Linked DNA regions of Stegostoma tigrinum. The protein of the gene in region 1 interacts with the protein of each later gene in a pairwise test. Links are inferred from orthologs where the notes say so. Each region holds a gene or a part of one and is shown on either strand. Other genes may lie near its edges.

Evidence for each region.
Region 2: the proteins of cibar1 (region 1) and cby1 interact in binary tests that used the Homo sapiens proteins (3 or more experiments, as listed by UniProt). The two-hybrid records come from large-scale screens. The link is inferred for Stegostoma tigrinum from reciprocal best matches to the Homo sapiens genes CIBAR1 and CBY1.

Annotation. Positions count from the first base shown.
Region 1 is NC_081358.1:90,555,868-90,568,335, forward strand, and holds the start of cibar1 (CBY1-interacting BAR domain-containing protein 1), read left to right. Parts: upstream 1-6,301; 5' UTR 6,302-6,542; coding exon 6,543-6,577; intron 6,578-10,449; coding exon 10,450-10,684; intron 10,685-12,468. UniProt on the Homo sapiens protein: Plays a critical role in regulating mitochondrial ultrastructure and function by maintaining the integrity of mitochondrial morphology, particularly the organization of cristae.
Region 2 is NC_081391.1:1,425,071-1,437,266, forward strand, and holds the start of cby1 (protein chibby homolog 1), read right to left. Parts: upstream 4,687-12,196; 5' UTR 4,610-4,686; intron 4,006-4,609; exon of another isoform or gene 3,456-4,005; intron 1-3,455. Other genes in the region: protein FAM227A-like, read left to right, coding at 6,968-7,091, 9,760-9,842. UniProt on the Homo sapiens protein: Inhibits the Wnt/Wingless pathway by binding to CTNNB1/beta-catenin and inhibiting beta-catenin-mediated transcriptional activation through competition with TCF/LEF transcription factors.

The DNA.
Region 1 (12,468 bases):
AGTAGCAAACATTTAAGAGAATATTCTAGAAAGCACAAAATAGATATATTCCAAAAACAATCTAAGGTATAGACCTGTCACACTTGATTAGCTAAAAAAAGCAAAGATAGCACTGTTTAAAAAAACATGTAATTGTGCAAAGGTAGATAGCAGGTCAGAAGATTGGGCAGAATATTATTTTAAAAAAAAGCAAAAACTTTCTAAAAGATAAATAAGGTGGGGCAAATTAGAATGAGAGAAAGTTAGTCAAAAGTATAAAACAGAAAGAAAAAGTTCCTTCATATATTTAAAAAAGAAAAGCATTAACCAAGTGTTGACCTTATAGAAAATAAGTCTGGGAAATTAGAGATGGCAGATGAGCTGAACAGATATTTTGCATAGGTCTTCACTAGAAGGGATAATAGTATGATTTGGGAAATAGCTGTGAATCAGAAATGAAAGGGAAAGAGGAACTCAAGAAAATGACAATTACCAGGGAAGTAGTACTAGGTAAAATTTGTTTTATTTTTGTGCCAGGTAGGAATGAATAATTGCTACAGTTCACCCACTTACCCTTTAAATTTTGCCACTGCCTTACCACCATCTTCCTTTTAAGTAATGTCCCCAATCCATCACATTCTAATTGTGCCTCATACAATTGTAATTTTCTCTATTTAGATTTAGAACCCTAGTATTAGAATCAACTACGTCACTCTCTATCTTAGCAAGAAATTCCATCACATTATAGTCGCTCCTTCCCAAAGGGGCCTCACACAACTCGATTGCCAACTATTCCTTTCTCCTTATGCAATAGTCTGGTCTGTTCTGTTCTCAAGGTGTTCCTCAATAAATGCGTTCAGAAAACAATCCTATATACACTCCTGAAATTCATTTTTCCTCATTACAACTTAAAATCACCCATAATTACATTGTGTGAATTGTTAATTTCCTAGTTAGTTAGTTTAATGCCATTCCCAACATCAGTTTGAAGGTTTCGATACAGCACCTTTGTCTTATGCCCCTTGGGTTATTTCAGCTCTTCCCACACAGATTCTACTAACCCAGATCTGATAACCTTCCTCATTATTGAATAAGTTTCCTCTTTAATCAGTAAAGCAACTCAACTGTCTTTTCCTTTTTGACTGTCTTTCCCAAATATTGGATGTTCAGCTCCCATCCTGGTCATGCTGAAGCCATAGTGTCCCCGACCTGGACTTCCAAGAGCTGTGTCTGGAGACACTTCCTGTACACGTATTGGCTTCCAGGCACTTGAACTGTGCCCAACTTCCCAAAATACCAAAGGAAAAGTGCAACACGGCTTTGAATCATTTTGCCAAGGCATACCTCTTTAAATTAAATCCTTTGGAAGATGCTTAATAGCAAAATATTAATTACTCTAGGGTCATTATTCCCTAGTCTGTATTACTATAGGATGTAGTCCTTCCAAACTATAGACCACACTAACAAAAAAACAAAAACACCTCTTCCCCTCTTCAATTTCCCACCATGTTCCTGGCAGTCTGAGGTGACTTGACTGAAAGATATAAGTTCCGAAGGGGACTTGATCAGCTGGATGTCAAAAGGATGATTCATCTTGTGGGAGAGTCTAGAATTAGGGGTCATGGTTTAAAAATAAGGGGTCACCCATTTATGACAGAGATGAGAAAACATTTTTATTAATCTTAAAGATGTAATTAATTTATTCAGCCACGTTACACAATACAACCTACTGACTGATCAGTTCTAATGCTGAAAGAAACTCTTCAGGCTGTCACTAATAATCTGATTTTTCTAGTTTACATGTAGATTAAAGTCATCCATGAATGTCCCTGTGTAACAATCACCCATGCCACCATAAGACTATAAAATATAAGTGCAGAATTAGGCCATTGGCCCATTGAGTCTACTCCACCATTCAACTGTGGCTAATATGTTTCTGCCTTCTCCCCATAACCCTTGATCCCCTTACTAAACAATATCCTGGAGATAGTGACAACTGCCAATGCTGAAGTCAGAGATAACACAATGCGGAGCTGGAGCAGCACAGCAGGCCAGGAAGCATCAGAGGAGCAGGAAAGTTGATGTTTCGGGTCCGGACCCAATACATCAACTTTCCTGCTCCTCTAATCAAGACACTGTCGATCTTTGCCTTAATGACATTCAATGACTTACTTCTTCTTGCATATCTTGTTATCCCATTTTGTTCACTGATAGGGGACCTGTAGACTACTTCCAGTAGTAACTCCTTTTCCTACTAGTCCTCATCTCTTCCTAAACTTGTTGCTTCCTGACCACCTGACACAAGATAATCTGTAACTATTGCAGATGCCATTCTTGATTAACAGTGCGATCCTCCATTTTTATCCATTCTTTTTGTTTGAATGTCATATACCCTCAATATTTCTGACTTAATCCTTGTAATCCTGGAACCAAGTCGCCTCAATGACAATGAGATTGAAAATACGAATACAATGTGCACTATCCTTTTTTACATTATTAGGGATGTTATATACAAATGGCTTTTAGTTTTATCTTTTTGTAACATCCAGTTTTTCTTGTAGGTGTAAAAACTAAAAGAACTGCGGATGCTGTAAATCAGGAACAAAAACAAAGTGGCTGGAAAAGCTCAGCAGGTCCGGCAGCATCTGTGGAGGAGAAAAGAAACTTAACATTTCAGGTCCGGTGACCCTTCCTCCGAACTGGTTCCAGTTCGGACAAAAGGTCATCAGGCCCTAAATGTTAACTCTGTTTTCTTGTCCACAGATGCTGCCAGACATGCTGAGCTTTTCCAGCCATTTTGTTTTTGTTTCTTATAGGTGTATTCCTTGATTTTTTTTTCTTTCTGCCTCTTCTTACATTCTCTGAGCATCATCTCCCATATTATTATTTTCCTTTCCTACCTTGTCTCTTTGGTGTGCTACATTTTTCTACATTTGATCTCTTGAGCCCACGCTTCCCTAACACTGTTCATTTAAAAACTCTTTCTACTTTCCCGGTCACAAAGTTCAAAGAACCACTTTCTAATTTATTGACTAGTTTCCTATTATGTGCTTGCACAATCTATTTCTTAGTTCTGCCTATGTTGTTGGTCTCTACAGGGACTACGACGAATGGATCCTACCTTCTCACTGCAATTTCCTTTCCAGTTCTGAGTAAATTTCCCAAATCTTGGCACCAGGCACCTTGCTTCCAGCTTATAAATACTGAGCCAAAGCTGCTTGAACTTCAAATACTACTGCAGCACTTTAAGTGATCATCTAAAAGCCTCTTAAATTTTGTGGTGATTCTTGCTTCTACCACTCTCTCTGGCAATGAGTTCCAGATACCCAACATCTGCCGTGTGAAATAATTCTTCCTTTATTTCCCTCTAAACCTTCAGCTCCCTCCCTTAAATCTATGCCCCTTGTGTATTAATTCCTTAACTATGAGGAAATGGTTCTTCCTATATATCCTGCCTAAGGCCCTCATCATTTTGTACACCCCAGTCAGATCCTCCTTAGCTTTCTCTCATCTTAAGAAAACATCCCTGGTCTATTTAGTATCTCTTCATATCCGAAATGCTTCAAAATCCTAGTGAATCTCTTCTGCACTTCTCCAGTGCAATCACACCTTTCCTATGATGTGGCAAACAGAACTGTACACAGTACTCCAGCTGTGGCTGAACTAATGTTTCACATAGCACCTTCATAACCCCTTTGATCTTATATTCAATGCCTTGATTTATGAAAGCAAGCATCCCGTATGTCGTCTTAACCAACTTTCCCCCAAAGGAACTGTGGATATTCACACCATGGTCCCTCTGATAGTCTATACTTTGTAGGGTCTGACCATTCAACCACAATCATCAGTCATGCAAAAACCTACAGATCCCATGACTAGTGAAATTTCCTTGGTTGACAATAATGCTTGTCAACAAGTGATTGCCAACAATGTTCATTCTACATGTACTCCCTTGCCTTGTTAGTCCTACCAAAATGCATCACTTCACAACATTTTTAAAAATTTCTTTGTGAGACATGGGATTGCTGGTCGGCTAGCATGAATTACTCGTCCCTAGTCCAAGATTAAATTCCATTTGGCGTTTTTCAGCCCACTCATATTCCCACAGATAATAAAATGTGAGGCTGGATGAACACAGCAGGCCCAGCAGCATCGCAGGAGCACAAAAGCTGACGTTTCGGGCCTAGACCCTTCATCAGAGAGGGGGATGGGGAGAGGGTTCTGGAATAAATAGGGAGAGAGGGGGAGGCGGACCGAGGATGGAGAGAAAAGAAGATAGGTGGAGAGGAGAGTCGGCCCCAAACCCCACCCCTTCCTCCGTTACATTGATGACTGTATCGGCGCCGCCTCTCGCTCCCCAGAGGAGCTCAAACAGTTCATCCACTTCACCAACACCTTCCATCCCAACCTTCTGTTCACCTGGGCCATCTCCAGCACATCCCTCACCTTCCTGGACCTCTCAGTCTCCATCTCATGCAACCCGCTTGTAACTGATGTCCATTTCAAGCCCACCAACTCCCACAGCTACCTAGAATACACCTCCTCCCACCCACCCTCCTGCAAAAATTCCATCCCCTATTCCCAATTCCTCCACCTCCGCCGCATCTGCTCCCATGATGAGGCATTCAACTCCTGCACATCCCAGATGTCCAAGTTCTTCAAGGACCGCAACTTTCCCCCCACAGTGGTCGAGAACGCCCTTGACCGCGTCTCCCGCATTTCCTGCAACACATTCCACACACCCCGCCCCCGCCACAACCACCCAAAGAGGATCCTCCACTTTCTCACACACCACCCCACCAACCTCCGGATACAACGCATCATCCTCCGACACTTCCGCCATCAACAATCCGACCCCACCACCCAAGACATTTTTCCATCCCCACCCATGTCTGCTTTCCGGAGAGACCAGTCTCTCCGTGACTCCCTTGTTCCACCTCCATCTCCTACCTACTAACCTCATCCCACCTCCTTGACCTGTCCGTCTTCCCTGGACTGACCTATCCCCTCCCTTCCTCTCCACCTATCTTCTTTTCTCTCCATCTTCGGTCCGTCTCCCCCTCTCTCCCTATTTATTCCAGAACCCTCACCCCATCCCCCTCTCTGATGAAGGGTCTTGGCCCGAAATGTCAGCTTTTGTGCTCCTGAGACTGGGCCTGCTGTGTTCATCCAGCCTCACATTTTATTATCTTGGATTCTCCAGCAACTGCAGTTCCCATTATCACTGATACAATTATATTCCCACAGAGTCAGCTGTGTCTAGACCTCCACAAGGTCCTGACCTGCAACTCTAAGCTAAAGAACAAAGGGCAACTGTGCTGGGAAGACGGTAAACATGAATGAGAATCATCAGTCAATGAAGGCTGTTAACTACATTGCACCAGTGTGGGGCAATTCACAGATAATAAAATGTGAGGCTGGATGAACACAGCAGGCCAAGCAGCATCTCAGGAGCACAAAAGCTGACGTTTCGGGCCTGAAGGGTCTAGGCCCGAAACGTCAGCTTTTGTGCTCCTAAGATGCTGCTTGGCCTGCTGTGTTCATCCAGCCTCACATTTTATTATCTTGGAATTCTCCAGCATCTGCAGTTCCCATTATCTCTGGGGCAATTCACAAGCAGTTTTCAGGTTTAGAGATAATGGGAACTGCAGATGCTGTAGAATCCGACATAACAAAGTGTGGAGCTGGATAAATACAGCACACCAAGCAGCATCTTAGGAGCACAAAAGCTGACGTTTCAGGCCTAGACCCTTCTTCAGAATAGGGGGAGGGGGAGAGGGTTCTGAAATAAATAGGGAGAGGGGAAAATGGATAGAGGAGAAGATGGGTGGAGAGGAGCCAGACAAGTTAAAGGGGTGGGGATGGAGCCTGTAGAGGTGAGTGTAGGTGGGGAGGTAGGGAGCGGATGGGTCAGTCCCAGGAGGATGATCTGGTCAAGGGGGCGGGATGAGGTTAGTAGGTAGGAAATGGAGGTGCGGCTTGAGGTGGAACGAGGGGATAGGTGAGAGGAGGAAAAGATTAGGGAAGCAGTGACAAGCTGGGCTGGTTTTGGGATGCAATGGGGAGAGGGAGATTTTGAAGCTTGTGAAATCCACATTGATGTGTCTCCTCTCCACCCATCTTCTCCTCTATCCACCTTCCATCCACTTTCCACCTCTCTCCCTATTTATTTCAGAACCCTCTCCCCATCCCCCTTTTCTGATGAAGGGTCTAGGCCCGAAACGTCAGCTTTTGTGCTCCTAAGATGTTGCTTGGCCGGCTGTGTTCATCCAGCCTCACACTTTGTTATCTGTTTGCACGTTTGTTGCCCCTTTCTGATCACGTGGTTATCAGAGGGCGATAGGTTGGCGGAGCGCGGCAGGTGGTTCGGAGTCGCGCCTTGACCATGGGTATGGGACGCGCGTCAGGCGGGGCTGCTATGGTAACGGGGCCAATTCCGCACTCGTTGTGGACTGGCGTGGTCGGTGTATGGCGCAGGCCTGCTCCGGCTCCGGCTGATGGCTGAAACAACGGCCGCTTTTCCCGTCTTTTTTTAACGAGTCGCGGGGTACGGGACAGCCGTCATGTTTCAGGCTCGAGATCAGGACACGCGAGCCAGGTAAGACTCCCCGTTTACCCTCTGGCCGTGGGACCGTTTCGGGCTCCGTTTGTAGGCAAGCTCGAGGCCAAAGGCCGAGGCTCCATCAGCGGCTTCGCGAACCAGCGTCATTTGGCGGTTAGAAAGAAATCATTAGTCTGAGATCCTGAGTACTTTGCTTTTATTTTAATCTGTAAAATTCAGGGCTTGGCTAAGTAGAAACTCGCATCTTTCTCCAGTTTCTATCTAATCTCCTCTCCTGCCTTATCATTGCTCACCTTGCCCATGAGACCCATCTTCAACTCACTAAGCTTCATTTCTAAACGGCCAACCATCCTAATTCCCCGTATTCTGGTATCATTAATAGCCCGCGCTCTCTGCTGATTAAAATTGCAGAAAACCAAAGCCACCACCTTCACTTGCTGCTGTGGATTCCATTCCCTGACATCTGAACCCACTCCTTACTGTGGAAACTGTCTGCAGCTGAACAATTTTGTTGTATTTGATCCCAGGATAAGTTTGTGACTGTATTGCTACACCATCCCTGATACCAGATATGCCAATCTTCAGAATATCACCTTAAACCACCTTGCACCAACTCATCTGCTGTCATCCATGTCTGTTTTTTGGTTACCTTTAGACTTAATGATTCTAATACATCTCTGACAAGTCTCTTATAATGACTCCCATTTCCACTCAGATATGTGAAATCATCCAAAACTCTGCTGCTCGTGCATTTTCTCTCTCAAACTCCAGTTCACTGATCACCCCTATGCTTGCTGACTAGCATTGGTTCCTTGTCAAGTAATTTCTTGATTTAAAATTTCACTCTTCTTTTGAAATTCCCCACAGACCTCATTCCTCCTTATCTGCATGATGTAAGGAATTGTGGGATTAGGGAGCTAGTTGTATTTATAAGGTACTACTCATAAGGCTACTTAATAAGATAAAAACCCATGGAGTTGAAAGTAATATCCTAGCATGAATAGAGGATTCGCTAACTAAAAGAGTTGGGTTAAGGAGGGTGGGCATTTTTCAAAATGGCAACCAACAATGACTGGAGTGCTATAATGATCAATGTGAGGGCCACATTGATTTACGATAATAGACTTGGTTGAGGAAAGTGAATTTACTATAGCCAAATTTGTGAATGACACAAAAATAGGTGGGAAGGCAAGCGACGAGGATAGAACAGGTTCTGCAGAGAGATATAGATGGGTTAAGTGAGTGGGCAGACACTTGGCAGATGAAATATAAGGTGGGAAAATGTGAAGTTAAGTGCTTTAACCAGAAGAATAGAGGAGCTGAATATTATTTATTTGGAACAAATTGTGCAACAGAGGGCCGAGCAGGAAATTTTGATGTTTTGGGTTGGGACCCTTCTTCAGAAAATTTTCTGAAGAAGGGTCCCGACCCAAAACGTCAAACTTTCCTGCTCCTCTGCTGCTTGGCATGCTGTGTTCATCCAGCTTCACACTGTGTTATCTCAGATTCTCCAGCATCAGCAGTTCCTACTCTCTGCATGACGGAGAGGTTTGGCAGTCTTTGCGCATGACTCACACAATGCTAGCATCTAAATTCATTGAGTAGTAGGGAGGATAAATGGAATGTTGGCATTTAATTTTATAGGTGGTGGAGAAGAAAAGTAGGGAGATATTGCAAAAACCATACGAGACACTAGTCTAAGGAAAAATATCCTCACATTGCCAGCAGTCCAGAGGAGATTCCCTACATTTTTACACAAGTGAAGGGTTTGTCTTATGAGGTGAGGTTGAGTCAGTTGAGCCTGTATCCTTTGGAATTTAGGAGAATGAGGAGACCTTATTGAAATGTACAAGGTTCTTTGGCTGCTTAACAGGGCAGATGTGGAAAGGTTGTTTCCCCTTGTGACAGAATCTAGGACAAGAGGGCATAATTTCAGAGTAAGGGGTTATACATTTAAAACAGGGATGAGGAGGAATTTCTTCTCAGATGGCAGTGAATCTGAAATTCCTTGCAGACGGTTATTAAAGCTGGGTCATTAAGTATCTTCAGCATGTAGATAGAATCGGGGAGGGAATCAAGGGTTACGGAGAAAAGGCAGAAAAGTGGAGTTAATGATTATCGGCCCAGCCGTGATGTCATCAAATGGCAGACCAGACATGATGGGCTGAATGACCTGTTTCTGCTCCTATGTTTAATGACCCCTTTCGAATTAAAGAGGATGGATTGGAGAGTGGGAAGGGAGCTCAGATTTTGTTTTGGACTCGAATCCTTGCCCTCCCTGGAGTGTGAAAAATTCAGAAAACTCAATTTCTGAACTTTCTAGCAGCACTGAGGAAAGCAGAACCTCAGATACGCGTGTCTCTAATCCACACTGAAGGGAACCATTTTAGTTATGCTGAAAGGCTCTGGTATATTTAGGCCAACGTCTTCCAGTTGTCAGAGGTTTGAGCTTCCAGCTGGCAACTCCCTGCTCCTCAGGATCCTCCAAAAAAATTTCAAATTCTGAGTTAGGCTCAGAAGCTTAGGTATTCTTAGAGTGGGTGAGGTCATGCAGATGGACCATGTGAAAGATAAGCCATAATTGACTGTGTTTCCGGCCTGGGAATTTAAAACTTTTAACAAGCAATTACCAGGTGTCTAGAATCTTCTTTTTCCCCAAAAAATATTCCTAACTTTGAGTTAGAGCTGGAAACTTTGGATGGTTCCAACAGACTTCACTTTGTGTCGCACAGGAAAAGTTGGAGGTCCTAAGACTATGAGACTATAATACATCGGAGTGAAAGCAAACCATTCGGCCATTGAGTCTGCTGTAGTTCAATGAGATCATGACTGATCTGGTAATCCTCAACTCCACTTTCCTGACTTTTTCCCACAGCCCTCGATTCCCCTTAATAACAAAATCTGCCTAATTCTCCCTTGACTACACTTAACGGCCCAGTTTCTATAGCTTTTTGCAGTGAAGAATTCCACAGATTGATTACACACAGAGAAGAAAATCCTGTCCTCTGTCCTAACCGGGCAACCCTTATTCTTTTTGTTATGCCATTTTGTCCTAAACTCACCTATAAGGGAAACAACTTCTCTGTATCTAACTTCTCAAGTCCCCTAAGAGAATGTATACTTCAACAAGGTAATTTCTTCTTCTTGTAAACTCTAATGAGTACCTGGAATCAACCTATTGAAGCTTCTTTTTACTGCCTGTTTAGATGTGGAACCAAAAGTGTTCACAGTATTCTAGGTGTGATCTTGTATAGTTTTAGCAAGATTTCCTTATTTTTGTATTCCAGTCCCTTTTGAAATCGAGGCCAACATTCAATTTGTCTTCCTTGTTACCCGCTGTACTAATGCTAGCTACATGTGATTTATGCACGAGGACCGCCATATTCTTCTGTGCTGAATTTTCTGCGGTATTCCACGTTGTGCAGTCAATATCACTAATGTGCAAGAAAATAAAAATCATCTTGGGATTTTTGTGCAGATTGGAGATTGTGATGAAGAAATGGCTATTATCAGCTATGGCATCCATCTTCTCTACATTTTCCAACATCAGGGGAATCCTGCAGAAATTTGAGCCAAAATATTTTAGCATCCCTGATGGCTTGATGCTAAATTGTGTAATACTAAAAGTTCACCCCTTTCAGAACTTGCTGATGGGGTTGTGGATGGGTAAAGATGAGCAAGAGCCGTCTGTTTTGCTATCTCCTAAATTATCCCCACCACAATTCACAAATTTGTCTCACTTGTCAACTCTCTGGATTTCCACAATGCTGCTAAAGGAGAAGCAAGGTTGACATCACAATTACTAGTCACAACATGCAACAAGTTTTAGAAGAGATCCTCTGTCATAATTTTTATCTCTAAAACTTTCATTATTCTGCAGCAACTAAAAGTAAAACTTTCTTTTTCAGAGACAGTCAAACAAAGTATATTCACAGCACTGTTGTAAATGTGGAAAAGCACTTTGGTGAGATCTGCACCTTATTTGCAGCCTATGCACGGAAAACTGCAAGACTACGTGATAAGTCAGACCTGCTGGTTAAAGAACTCCGAGAGTACTCCGATACAGAAACTCCTAATTTAAAATATGGTCTAAGTAGCTTTGCAGATCACTTTGCTTTAGTTCAAGATTATAGACATGCAGAGGTGAGTTGCTGAAAATATTTGTGTGTGGCAGTACACCATGTTCAACACAGTCTTTTCACTTCTGATTTTGATCTGCGTGAAGTTCACTATAATTGCATTAAGTGACTTTTTTTTTCTACTGGATATTTCTAAATCTTTGGCTTTCTGTGAAGCAACAGCTACCATTCAGAATCAATTATCAGTACCACTCGAGGCAGAAGGATTCCAAAATGGAAATTGAAATTGGGACAATGGCGAGTATTCATCTGAAGTTAGTTGCCCAGTGATCCACGTTGGCAGTAAGAAAAGTGAGATAACATAAAATAAAGAGTAAACTTCAAAAGGAGTGCAGGAGCAGAGGGACCTGTGTACATAAATCATTGAAGGATAGGTTGAGATATTACAATTACAAAAAAAGTCTTTTTTTTAAACTAACAGTCATATAGTGTGCAAAAGGAAGTTGTATTAAGTTTGTATGCAATACTGGTGTGGCCTCGACCAGAGAACTCCATCCAGTTTCACATTTTAGGAAGGAATCAATTAGTTTCTATTCAGAAATGCAAAGACTGTAAGCAGGTTTAATTAATGCACTCAAGGAAGTTAGATTGTTATCAGAAAAGGAAAATTTTACGGGGCTGTGGGAAGAGGGCAGAGGAGTGACACTATGTAAATTGTTCCATTGGAGGGCCAGCACTAGCCTAAGTATTCAAATTAGATTTTTTTTGTGCTGTAACCATTCTGTGATTCTGTAGCGCTGTGCCGAAATCAAAAGAATCTTATTCACCAGCATACTTCCGCTGTACTGAATCAATTGGAGGGGCATGCAAAAAAAATGCAATTTGGGCAACGAGAAAAAGGGAACTGCAGATGCTGGAGAATCCAAGATAACAAAGTGTGAAGCTGGATGAACACAGCAGGCCAAGCAGCATCTCAGGAGCACAAAAGCTGACGTTTTGGGCCTAGACCCTTCATCAGAGAGGGCGATGACGAGAGGGTTCTGGAATAAATAGGGAGAGAGGGGGAGGCGGACCAAAGATTGATAGAGGAAAAGATAGGTGGGGAGGGGATAGGTCAGTCCAGGGAGGACGGACAGGTCAAGGAGGCGGGATGAGGTTAGTAGGTAGGAAATGGAGGTGCGGCTTGAGGTGGGAGGAGGGGATAGGTGAGAGGAAGAACAGGTTAGGGAGGCACGGACGAGCTAGGCTGGTTTTGGGATGCAGTGGGGGAAGGGGAGATTTTGAAGCTTGTGAAGTCCACATTGATACCATTGGGCTGCAGGGTTCCCAAGCAGAATATGAGTTGCTGTTCCTGCAACCTTCGGGTGGCATCATTGTGGCACTGCAGGAGGCCCATGATGGACATGCCATCTAAGGAATGGGAGGTGGAGTTGAAATGCTTCACATCTGGGAGGTGCAGTTGTTTGTTGCGAACCGAGCGGAGGTGTTCCGCAAAGTGGTCCCCAAGCCTCCGCTTGGTTTCCCCAATGTAGAGGAAACCACACCGGGTACAGTGGATGCACTATACCACATTGGCAGATGTGCAGGTGAACCTCTGCTTAATTTGGAAAGTCATCTTGGGGCCTGGGATGGGGGTGAGGGAGGAGGTGTGGGGTCAAGTGTAGCACTTCCTGCGGTTGCTGGGGAAGGTGCTGGGTGTGGTGGGGTTGGAGGGGAATGTGGAGTGGACAAGAGAGTCACGGAGAGAGTGGTTTCTCCAGAAGGCAGACCAACACCTTCCACCCCAAGTTCAGGTTTACCTGGGCCATCTCCAACATACCCCTCACCTTCCTGGACCCCTCTGTCTCC
Region 2 (12,196 bases), on another chromosome or scaffold:
TTTAGCCTCTTGAACCTGCTCCTCCTTTCCACATAAGATCAAGAGTCGGTCAGGAGGCAGGAATGCCGCAGTGAGTAAGTCATCTCCTGTCCATCATCTAAAAGACAAAAGTCACAATTGTATTGGAATACACCCCACTCGCCTGGGTGGGGTGCACTTCCAAAAACACTCAAGAAGTTCGACACTATCCAGGATAAAAGTTTATTTGACTGGCACCCATCTACTACCTTCAACATTCACTCCCTTCACTACAGACACTCAATAGCAGGAATGTATACCACACGTAACTCGGCAACACTTCAAAAGTATCATCCAAACTGACCACCTCTCCATCTAGAAGGACAATGGCACAGGTACATGGAAACACTATCCTGAATGGAAATTTACTGTTGTTCCTTCAGTGTTGCTGGGTCAAAATCCTGGAACTTCCTTCCTCACATTGTGGGTCTACCTACAGCACGACTGCAGCAATTCAAAAAGATAGTTCACACCACTTTCTCATGGTGACTCATGGTTGGCAATCAGGCCCACAGCAGAGCACTTAACAAGAAGGACTGTAAAGTTGAACTCTATTTCTTTATTCTTCTGCCTTTTGTGTTCTCTGTTTTGGTTTACTTTTCTGCCTTTTAAGATGGCGCCCGAGCTGTACAACACTTTTCAATGTATTTTGCAAAATAATACACGTGAAATTAGGCAGATAGATAGACAGGCTGACAGACAGGTAGACAGACGATGGGCAGTAAATGCTGGACTAGCCAATGACACCTACATCCCAAGAACAAATAGTACAAAACCCTTGCATGGCTAATCCTCTGTCTCAGTTCTACTATTCATATCCCTTGATTCTGAAGCACCAAAAATCTGTCAATCTCAGTCTTAAATGTTTTCAATGACAAGTCCGAAGATTCAAAGCCCTCTGACTGAAGGAACTCTTCATCTAAGTTCCAAATGATCAATCCCTTATCCTGAAACTGTGTCCCTAGATTCACTGCCCTGTGGAAACAATCTCTTGGGTTGACCAGTCAGTTCCCTAATGTATCTCAATGAAATCACCTCCTATTCTTCCATACTCTACAGAATATACAATTCACTTAGCCTCTTATCTCAGGGACAAATTTAATGAAGCTTCATTACTGCCTTCAATGCAAGTCTATCTTTTCTTAAATAGGATGACCAAAATTGCGCAGAGTGTTCCAGACGTGATATCACCAAACTCCTTTATTGTGGCAAAACTTCCTTTTCCTATACTCCAACTAACTTGCAATTCAAGCCACTACAATTGCCTAGCAAATAATTTGTTGTACCTGCATGCTAACTTTGTATTCCTCAAACAAGTGTACCTAAGTCCCGTGAATGGAAAAATTTAGATGTTTACTACATTTTAAAATATTCAATTTTTCTACTAATATAAAAGTGAAGAACCTCACATTTCCACACCTGCCATTTTGTTGCCCACTTAATTAACTTGCCTATATCTCTTGGTGTCCTCCTCTCAGTTTTTTTTTGTCAGCAAATTTGAATATGCCACGTTGAGTCTATTGTCTAGGTCACCCTCTGAGTGAACTAAATTATTTTCTCAAATCCCCTCTAAACCTCCTGCTTTTCACCTTAACATAATGGTCCCTTGTTATCAACCCTTCAACTAAGGGGAGCAACTGCTTTATCCCCAGTCCATGCCACTCAATTTTATACACTTCAATCAAATCACACCCAACATCCCTCCCTCAGTTTTTTCTGTTTAAAGAAAATAACGCAGGCTCTTTTCACAGCCAATATACTCCAACCCAGCCAACATCCTAGCGAATCTCCTCTGCACCCCTCCAGTGTAATCACATTCTTCCTATAATGTGGCAATCTGAGCTACACACAGTACTCCAGCTGTGGCCTAGCCGAAGTTTTGTACAGCTCTAATATAACCTTTCTGCTCTTATAATTCTCGGATGCATCCCATCGGGTTCAGGGAAGTTATTGGTTTTTACACCCTTTAATTTCCCTCGAACTTCTTCTCTCATGATAGTATTGTATTTATTTACTTCTTCTCCTCTTTTTGCCCCTTGTAATTTAGTAATCTTGGAATACTATTAGCGTCTTCTACTGTGCTGCAAAGTATATATTCAATTCCTCTACAATTTCCTGGGTTCCCATTATTTCCTCAGCCTTGTTCTCTGAGTGGCCTTTGTTAACTCTCTCTTCTTTGTATATATTTATAGAAGTTTTTGTTGTTCATCTTGATATTACTTGCAAGTTTACCCTCAAATGTTATCTTCTCTTTTTTTTGTTGTCTTTTGTAGGTTTCTAAATCTTTCCCAATCCTCTGGCTTACCAATAATTTGTTCCCACATTATTTTTTTTTCCTTTCAATTTGATGCTTCCTTGGTTAACCAAGGTTGGCTTATCACCTTCCTAGAATTCTTCTTTCTCGCTCATATGTATCTTTGCTGTGAGCCATTAACTATTTTCTCAAAAATCTGTCATTATTCCTCAAATGTCTTTACTACTAAACTCCTTTCCAAGGCCACACCAGCTAGGTCTGTCCTCATATCTTTCTAACTACCCTTACTTCTGCTTGTAAAAGCTACTTCTGATTCACATTTCTCCCTCTCAAATTTAATGCTGAATTCCGCTATTTTACGGTCCTGGTTTCCAGTATAACACCAGTATAACTAGGTAGGGTTAACAAGAAATTCCACTACAAATAGTAAGATCCTGGAAACACTGAAGATCAGAAGGACCTTGGCGTGTATATCCACAGACCCCTGTAGGTATCGGGTCAGGTACAAAGGGTGGTGAGGAAAGAATTGGGATATTTGCCTTCATTAGCCAAGGATTAGATAAAAGAGCAGGAAGATTATGATTGGATTGTATAAAATGCTGGTTAGGCCATAGCTGGAGTACTGTGTGCAGTTCTGGTCACCACACCGTAGGAATGATGTGATTGCACAAGGGAGAGTGCAGAGGAGATTTAACAGGATGTTGCCTGTGTTGGAGGGGCCCAGCAATGAGAAAAGGTTGGATAGGCTCGGGATATTTGCCTTGGAGCACGGAAGGTTGAGAGGGACTGATAGAGGTGTACAAAATTATGAATGACACAGATAGTGGATATAAAGGCCACTATTAATTGAAGGGTTAATAACCAGGGGTGTCATAGATTTAAGAAGTAAAAGGTTAAGAGGAGAATTCAGCGGAAATGTTTTCACTCAGAGGGTGGTGAGAATCTGGAATTCACTATCTCAAAGGGTGGCAGAGTCAGAAATTATCAGAACACTTAAGCAGTATTTAGATATTCACTTCCTTTGCTGTAGCTTCCAGGGCAATGGGCCAAAATCTGGGATTAGTGTGGTCATATCTTTGCTGACCGGTGCAGACACAATAAGCTGAATATCCTCCTTCAGTGCTGTAAACATCTATCATCTGTATTACCAAACATAATCTGGCAGGCCGGGGGATAGCTTTACTGATGTCTTTTGTTTTCTACAGGAATATGTTGCAGATTGTTTAGTCTTTTCTATTAGTTATAACCTCTCAGTCCGGTGTTAATCTAATAAAAAAGGGATTGGCACCTTGAAGCAGGAACAAGCATAAGAGAACAACAGAGAATCTACAGACTATAACACATCAGCAGGGATAGATGACTAGTTAGCCAAAAGAAAGCAGACAGTAGGAATTCATGTCGTCCTCGAGTTGGAAAGCTAAAACTAATGGAGTGTCATAGGACTAGGCGCTGGAGTCTCAATAATTTACTATTCATATACATGAATTTGATGTGAGAATTAAATGTTGGCCAAATTTGCTGATAACACCAAACTAGTAGATTGAAAAGACGACGTGGACAGTCTACATAGTTAATACAGTAGGAAAAAAAATTGGCAGATGGAATGTAATATGGGAAAACGTACTTGTCCACTTTGACTGGAAGAGAAAAGCAGTACATTCTATAAATGGAGAAAGATCACAGAGCTTGGAAGACAGAGGGATCTTGGTGCGCTGGTACATTGATCACAAAAGGTGAGTATGCAGGTTCACAAGTGATTAGGTGAACAAATGGAGCATTGACAGTTATTGGAAGGGGAACATTTTTCTGAAGAAGGGTCTAGGCCCGAAACATCAGCTTTTGTGCTCCTAAGATGCTGCTTGGCTAATGTGTTCATCCAGCTCCATACTGTGTTATCTCGGATTCTCCAGTATCTGCAGTTCCCATTATCTCAGACTTTAAAAGTAGTGGTGATTTACTGCTATACAGGAACTTGGTGAAACTTCATTTGCTGCACTGTGTACTGTAATATCTCCATATCGGAAAAAAGGATATAATTGCATTAAAAGCAGTGAGAGAAGCTTCAATAGACTCGTTCCTAGACAAGGACATCTTAAGATGGTGAGGCCACTTCTTTTATTTCTCAGATGGTCATTAATCTGTGAAATTCTATTCCCCAGAACAGAAAAGACTGGGTCACTGAATTTATTCGAGGCTCTCCCCTCTCCCCCTGCCCTTCCCTCTCTTTCTGCTCCCGCCGCCCCCCCTCCGTTTCCTCCTTCCCTCTCTCTCTCCTTCTCCCTCTCTCCATCCACCCTCCCTCTCTTTCTATCCATCCTCTCTCTGTCTCCTTCTCACCTTCCGTTCTTCGTCCAGTTCCTCCAAATTCTGCGCCTGCGCCCTCCCTCCGTGGATGAGTCCATCATGCCGGGGAGGGAAGGGCGGTGTGATGAACAATTTAACTCTCAGCGTATTTCCGCGCTCTCTCCCTCAGCCGTGGTCACATTCGTCATACTAAAGACTTTTATAATATTTCCCCGAGCAGTACCCGCTATTCAGAACCTATTGATCGGCCAGAAACCATTCTTAACACAGATCACTCCCTCCCCGACAATATGGGGCACCCGGTTCCCATAGCAACAGCCTCAACAATGGAGAGTGGGAGAGAGACAACAGAGAATGGAGAAAGACAACAGTGAGACAGAGACAACAGAGTGAGAGAGAACAGAGAGTCAGAGAATAGAGTGAGTGAGAGAGAGAGAGAGAACAGTGAGTGTGAGAGAAAAAGAGTGAATACAGACAGTGCGAGAGAGAGAATAAAAAATGACAATACTAAGAGATATAGAGGAGATGGAATAGAGGGAGAGAATAGAAAATGTGAGAGAGAGATAGTGAGAAAAGAGAGTTAAAGTGAGAGAGATAAGAGTGAGTGAATAGGGAGAAAGAAAAAATAGACCGAGAATAGAGAGATTGAGGGAGGAAACAGAGCTAGAGATAACAGAATGATTGAGGAAATAGAGTTAAAATAGATAGAGGGAGACAACAGAAAACTGGACAGAGAATAGAGAGAGAATTGAGAAAGGGAGAGACAATAGAATGATAGAGAAAGAGAAAAGGATTGTGAGGGAGAAAATAGAGAGAAACAACACAGGGAGAGAATAAACAGTGTGGGAGTGAAGATAAAGAAAAAAAGAGACAATCGTGAATGAGAACAGAGAAAGAGGCAACAGAGATCTTTCCAGAGAGAAGAGAGAGAGTGAGGGAGAAAGAATAGAATGTTACAGCGTGAGGATATAGAGATAGAATGACAGAATAGAGAAAATAACGGAGATAACATAGAATAGAATATGAGGGAGATAAAATAGACAGGTAGATGGACAACAGAGAGTTAGAAAATACAGAGAGAGTGAGGAAGTGAGTATAGAGAAAGAAAATAGAGAGTGACAGCAAGAATAACGCAAGAGAAAATAGAAAGTGAGGAAGAGAACAGATACAGAAAGACGATAGAGAGAGGAAGAGAACAGAGATAGTGGAAGAGAATAAAGAGAGGGAGAGAGTAGAGAATAGAAGCAGAGAGAATAGAGAGATAGAGTAGGAGACAAAATAATAGACAGAAGAAAAGAGACAATGGAGAGAAAGAGAACAGAGAGTGAAAGCAAGAACAGAGAGAGCAAATAGAGTGAGAGGGAGAGGCTATAGAGAGATAGAAAGAATAGAGAGTGGCAGAGAAGATAGAGAGAGAATAACAGGTGAGAGTGAATAAAGTGAGAAAGAATAGAATAATGAGAGAGCATTGAGATTGAGAGTAGAGAGAAAATACAGTATGAGAGAACTGAGAGTCAGAGAGAGTGAGAGAGATAACGAATAAAAAGATAGGACAGAAAACTCAGACAACAGAGGGATCGAGAGAGTGAGGAAGATCATAAAGAGTTGGAGACACAAGACAGCGAAATAGACAGAGAGAGAGTGTGAAAAACACAGACAAAATAGAGACATAGAGTGGGAAAACTAAAGAAACTTCTTCTGTACCCTGCTCCCTGTCCTACACCTCTGCCCCCCTCCCACTCCTCACAATCCACCCCTATGCTCCCTCCCTCCCCTCCCCCTCCCACTTCCCCGCCCCCTCTCCCATTCCTCACAAACACACCCCGTTCCTCATGCCCCCCACCTACTCCCCAGTTCTCACTTCCCTCACTTTCCCCTCTCTCTACCTCACTCACTCTCTCTCCCCCAGTTTCCCCAATCCCACCCCACTCACCTGATCTTCTACCCACGCCCCCTCCTCCAACTCTTTCCTGTTCACTTCCTCCCTCTTCCCCCCCAACTCCCTATCCCTGCCTCCTTCCTCCCTCCCTTTCTCTATTCCACCTTCCTCCTTCACACTTTTCTTACTCTGCCATCTCTTCCCCAAGTTCCCTGGCCTTTTCCCCGCTCCTCACACACTCGCCTGGCCCCTCTCCTGTTCCCCATCGCCTCCCACATTGCCCCTGGCCTATTGCCCTCACTCTCCCCAACCAACTCACTGCCCCTTCCTCTCCTTACCCCCCCTACTCTGTAATTTATTCCTCCATTGTCTGTGCCCCCCTGCCCTTTACCTCCAGTTGATCCCCCATCCCCCACTACATGCACAGACGGATCCCATGCTGGTTAGCAGGTGACCATGTTAAGTTGGATATGTTCTGCATTCTCCACGCAGGGTGAGTAAGCAGTGTGAAGATGGTTGAGATCAACACAGCCCTTACTCCATTGGCGCTCTATGAAGAGAATATGGATTTACCAGTGGAGGTGGCAGCCCGGCAGAGACAGATGGTGAAGAAACGTTTGCAGGATTTTCCTGCTCGCATCCTTTTATTTTTGCTCAATTCCTATGTTGCTTGGGGCTCTTGTCATTGTCAAGGTATTAGGGAGACAGCAGACAATGTGAGAAGATAGCTGATAGAACACTGACTCGTGGGAGTGATGGCTGAAAACCAGTTTAATCTCAGGTTGTTGACTTGCTCAACGAGCTGGCTTATTTTCATTCAGACCATCTTAGGTGACATCATCAGTGGAGCCTCCGATCAAGCAGTGTCATTCTGCTCCGCTTGGAATTTATACTGTTTGGTCTGTTATAGTGAGTAGTGTCATTTCTGGTTTTGATCTGTATGGGTTTGTATACAGTGTCCAATTCTATGCATTTGATGACAGGTCGAGAACGATGCCTCTGGGATTTCCTATGCATGCCTATGTTTGGCTTGGGTTATTCGAGTTACTTTTCCCAGTTAAACTGATAGCCCTCATTGTCTGAGTGTACCAATATTAAGGAGAGTTCATCGTGCCATTTAGCTGTTACCTGATGTTCATGTATTCTGATGGCTAGTTTCCGTCCTGTCTGTCTGATGTAATGTTGGTGGCAGTCATTGCATGGTATTTTGTAAGCCGTGTTGGTTCTGCATATTGTGTGAATGGGGTCTTTTATCTGAGTAAGTGTTTGTTGTAGTGTGGCTGTGGGCTTGTGAGCTACCATGATTCCTAGTGGTCTTAGGACTCTTGTTGTCAGTTTAGATATGTTCTTGATGTACGGCAGTGTGGCCAGTGTGTTAGGGCATACTGGGTGCTCCTGGAGGACACCATTACAGACCATAACTCAGCCAGGTTCCTGGTGGTGTGAGGCAGCGATGCTGACCAGTGAACTGCAATACATATCCTGGATGTGTTTAAAGGGAATAGTGCCAAGTAAGCTTCATTCTCTACCTAACATTGTGATATACGTGTCCTAAGACTATTTGATGGCGGATAGTGTAGACGGAGTTTTAGTCTGCACATAACCCCAAGCTGTACTTGTCCTCACAGGGTTTGATGAGGGACAGCATAAATGGAGTTTTATTCTGTCTCTTAAACACAAGCTGTCTCTTGCCTTGGAGTGTCTGATGGAGACAGTGTAGAGTCAGCTTTATTTTAGGTTACTTTCAGTTTACAGTAGTAGAGAGACCTTTACTGTCTATCTAACCCTATGCTGTCCCTGTTCTGGGAGTGTTTGGTAGAGACAATGTGGAGAGGCTTTACTTTCAGTTTTAAAAAGTAGAGGCAGCTTTACTCTGTATCTAACCCTGCTGTACCTGTCCTGGGAGGACATTTATATATGTTACAAACACCAGAGGTCCTAGCAATGACTCTTGAGGGACACCACTGGTCACAGACCTCCAATCAGTAAAACACCCCTCTACAACTACCCTCTTCCTTGGTGTTAAATATTGGCTGGGACACCAGGGAGTGCTGTGTATTCTGAGATAATGGGAACTGCAGATGCTGGAGAATCCGAGATAAGAAAGTGTGGAGCTGGATGAACGCAGCAGGCCAAGCAGCATTTTCGGAGCACAAAAGCTGATGTTTCAGGCCTAGACCCACCATAGAGGAGAAGACAGGTGGGCCCAAAACCAGCCCAGCTCATCCCTGCCTCCCTAACCTGTTCTTCCTCTTACCTATCCCCTCCTCCAACCTCAAGCCGCACCTCAATTTCCTACCTACTAACCTCATCCTGCTCCCCTGACCTGTCCGTCGTCCCCGGACTGACCTATCCCTTCTCTACCTCCCCACGTACACTCACCTCTTTGGGCCCCATCCCCGCCCTTTCGACTTGTCTGTCAACTCTCCACCTATTTTCTCCTCTATCCATCTTCGATCCGCCTCCCCGACTCTCCCTATTTATTTCAGAACCCTCTCCCCCTCCCCCTTTTCTGATGAAGGATCTCGGCTCAAAACATCAGCTTTTGTGCTCCTAAGCTGCTGCTTGGCCTGCTGTGTTCATCCAGCTCCACACTTTGTTATCTGGTGGTGTGTATTCTTATAAGTTGTTCTGTGGGATCTTTGATGTCCACCTGAAATTGTGAATGCAGCCTTGGTATAACCCTTCACCCGAGTGACAACTCTGATGCTGAAGTGGCAGTCTGTCAGTGGTTGTTGGATGCCATTCTCAAGTGTAAGGCTTGAAACAGGAGGGATGGTCATCAACTCAGGCAAGTGATACCCCCAGGGCTGGGTGGTAGTGACACTCGCTCGGGGCTGGAGATTCCCCAGCTCAGACTGGGCTTTGTTCAGCTGCTTTTAAAAATACAATTTCATCACTCATGTAGACAGCCAGCACTGAGACCTGAGGAAAGTGCAGCAGTGAGTGGGAGAGAGGAGGGTGAGATAGGAGGTTGTGGAGGTGGATTTGAATGGGGACAGGAATGAGAAACTAGGAGAGAAAGGGGAGATGTTGAACAATGGGAAAAGAAAGGCGGAGAGTGGGCAATCAACAGAGAAAGGAAAAAGGGAAAGATAGGAGCAAGAAAGGCGAGTTGGTAGAGGGTGAGAAAAGAAAGGGGAGTAGAATGGGAAACAGGAAGAGGACTTAAGAAACTGGACTGCAGGATGGGGGGAATGAAGGGCAGAGTGGGGTGATTACGGGGGAATTATAGCCCTGAGATTTACGTTGCAGCAGTTTCATGGAAATATCAATTATTTTTCACTTAACCAATAAAGTTCAGCATTCGTGATTGGCTCAATGGACCTGGTGAATGAGAGGATTCAACATTTAAGTGGCACATTGCATGCTCATCCTGAAGCCTTGGTGAGTCACAGTTGTCTTGTTTCCCATGTGAGGCTGTTCAGCTCCCAGCACTTTGCCTTTTCACAGAGATGGAAAAACTGAGTACATCACCCAAATACAAGAATTATCAAGTTTATCACCCATTCAGAGACAGGAGTGATTAAGTGTATCACCCAGTAAGAGATGGGACTGTGTCACCCAGTTATAGACAGCAGCGATGGACTATGTCACCCAGTGATAGACAGTGTGATGGACTGTGTCACCCAGTGATAGACAGTGTGATGGACTATGTCACGCAGTGATAGACAGTGTGATGGACTGTGTCACCCAGTTATAGACAGCAGTGGTGGACTGCATCACACAGTGAGAGACAGGAGTGATGGACTGTGTCACCGAGTGATAGACAGGAGTGATGGACTGCATGACCCATTGAGAGATAGGAGTGATGAACTGCATCACCCAGTGATAGACAGCAGTGATGGACTGTGTCACGCAGTGATAGACAGTGTGATGGACTGTGTCACCCAGTGAGAGACAGGAGTGATGGACTGCGTCATCCAGTGACAGACAGGAGTGATGGACTGTGTCACCTAGTTATAAACAGCAGTGATGGACTGCATCACTCCTGCATCACCCAGTGAGAGACAGGAGTGATGGACTGCGTCACCGAGTGATAGACAGGAGTGATGGACTGCATCACCCAGGGCGAGACAGGAGTGATGGACTGTGTCACCGAGTGATAGACAGGAGTGATGGACTGCATCACCCCGTGAGAGACAGGAGTGATGGACTGCATCACCCCGTGAGAGACAGGAGTGATGGACTGCATCACCCAGTGAGAGACAGGAGTGATGGACTGTATCACCGAGTGATAGACAGGACTGATAGACAGGAGTGATGGACTGCATCACCCGGTGAGAGACAGGAGTGATGGACTGTGTCACCGAGTGATAGACAGGAGTGATGGACTGCATCACCCCGTGAGAGACAGGAGTGATGGACTGTGTCACCGAGTGATAGACAGGAGTGATGGACTGCATGACCCATTGAGAGATAGGAGTGATGAACTGCATCACCCAGTGATAGACAGCAGTGATGGACTGTGTCACGCAGTGATAGACAGTGTGATGGACTGTGTCACCCAGTGAGAGACAGGAGTGATGGACTGCGTCATCCAGTGACAGACAGGAGTGATGGACTGTGTCACCTAGTTATAAACAGCAGTGATGGACTGCATCACTCCTGCATCACCCAGTGAGAGACAGGAGTGATGGACTGCGTCACCGAGTGATAGACAGGACTGATAGACAGGAGTGATGGACTGCATCACCCGGTGAGAGACAGGAGTGATGGACTGTGTCACCGAGTGATAGACAGGAGTGATGGACTGCATCACCCCGTGAGAGACAGGAGTGATGGACTACATCACCCAGTGAGAGACAGGAGTGATGGACTGCATCACCCCGTGAGAGACAGGAGTAATGGACTGTGTCACCGAGTGATAGACAGGAGTGATGGACTGCATCACCCCGTGAGAGACAGGAGTGATGGACTACATCACCCAGTGAGAGACAGGAGTGATGGACTGCATCACCCCGTGAGAGACAGGAGTGATGGACTGCATCACCCAGTGAGAGACAGGAGTGATGGACTGTATCACCGAGTGATAGACAGGAGTGATGGACTGCATCAGCCGGTGTGAGACAGGAGTGATGGACTGCATCACCCCGTGATAGACAGGAGTGATGGACTGCATCAGCCGGTGAGAGACAGGAGTGATGGACTGTGTCACCGAGTGATAGACAGGAGTGATGGACTGCATCACCCAGGGCGAGACAGGAGTGATGGACTGCATCACCCAGGGTGAGACAGGAGTGATGGACTGTGTCACTGAGTGATAGACAGGTGTGATAGGAGTGATGGACTGCATCACCCAGTGAGAGACAGGAGTGATGGACTGTGTCACCGAGTGATAGACAGGAGTGATGGACTGTGTCACCGAGTGATAGACAGGAGTGATGGACTGCGTCACCCAGTAAGAGACTGGAGTGATGGACTGCGTCACCCAGTGATAGACAGGAGTGATAGACTGCATCACCTAGTGAGAGACAGGAGTGATGGACTGTATCACCGAGTGATAGACAGGAGTGATGGACTGCATCACCCAGTGAGAGACTGGAGTGATGGACTGCGTCACCCAGTGATAGACAGGAGTGATAGACTGCATCACCTAGTGAGAGACAGGAGTAATCAAGTGTATCACCCTGAGAAACAGTAGTGACTGAGTACATCAGGTATCATCCAGTCAGGGACAGGACTCAGTGTGTGTTATGACCTGTGTCGGGGCAGGAGTGATCAGGAGGAACACCCAGTGA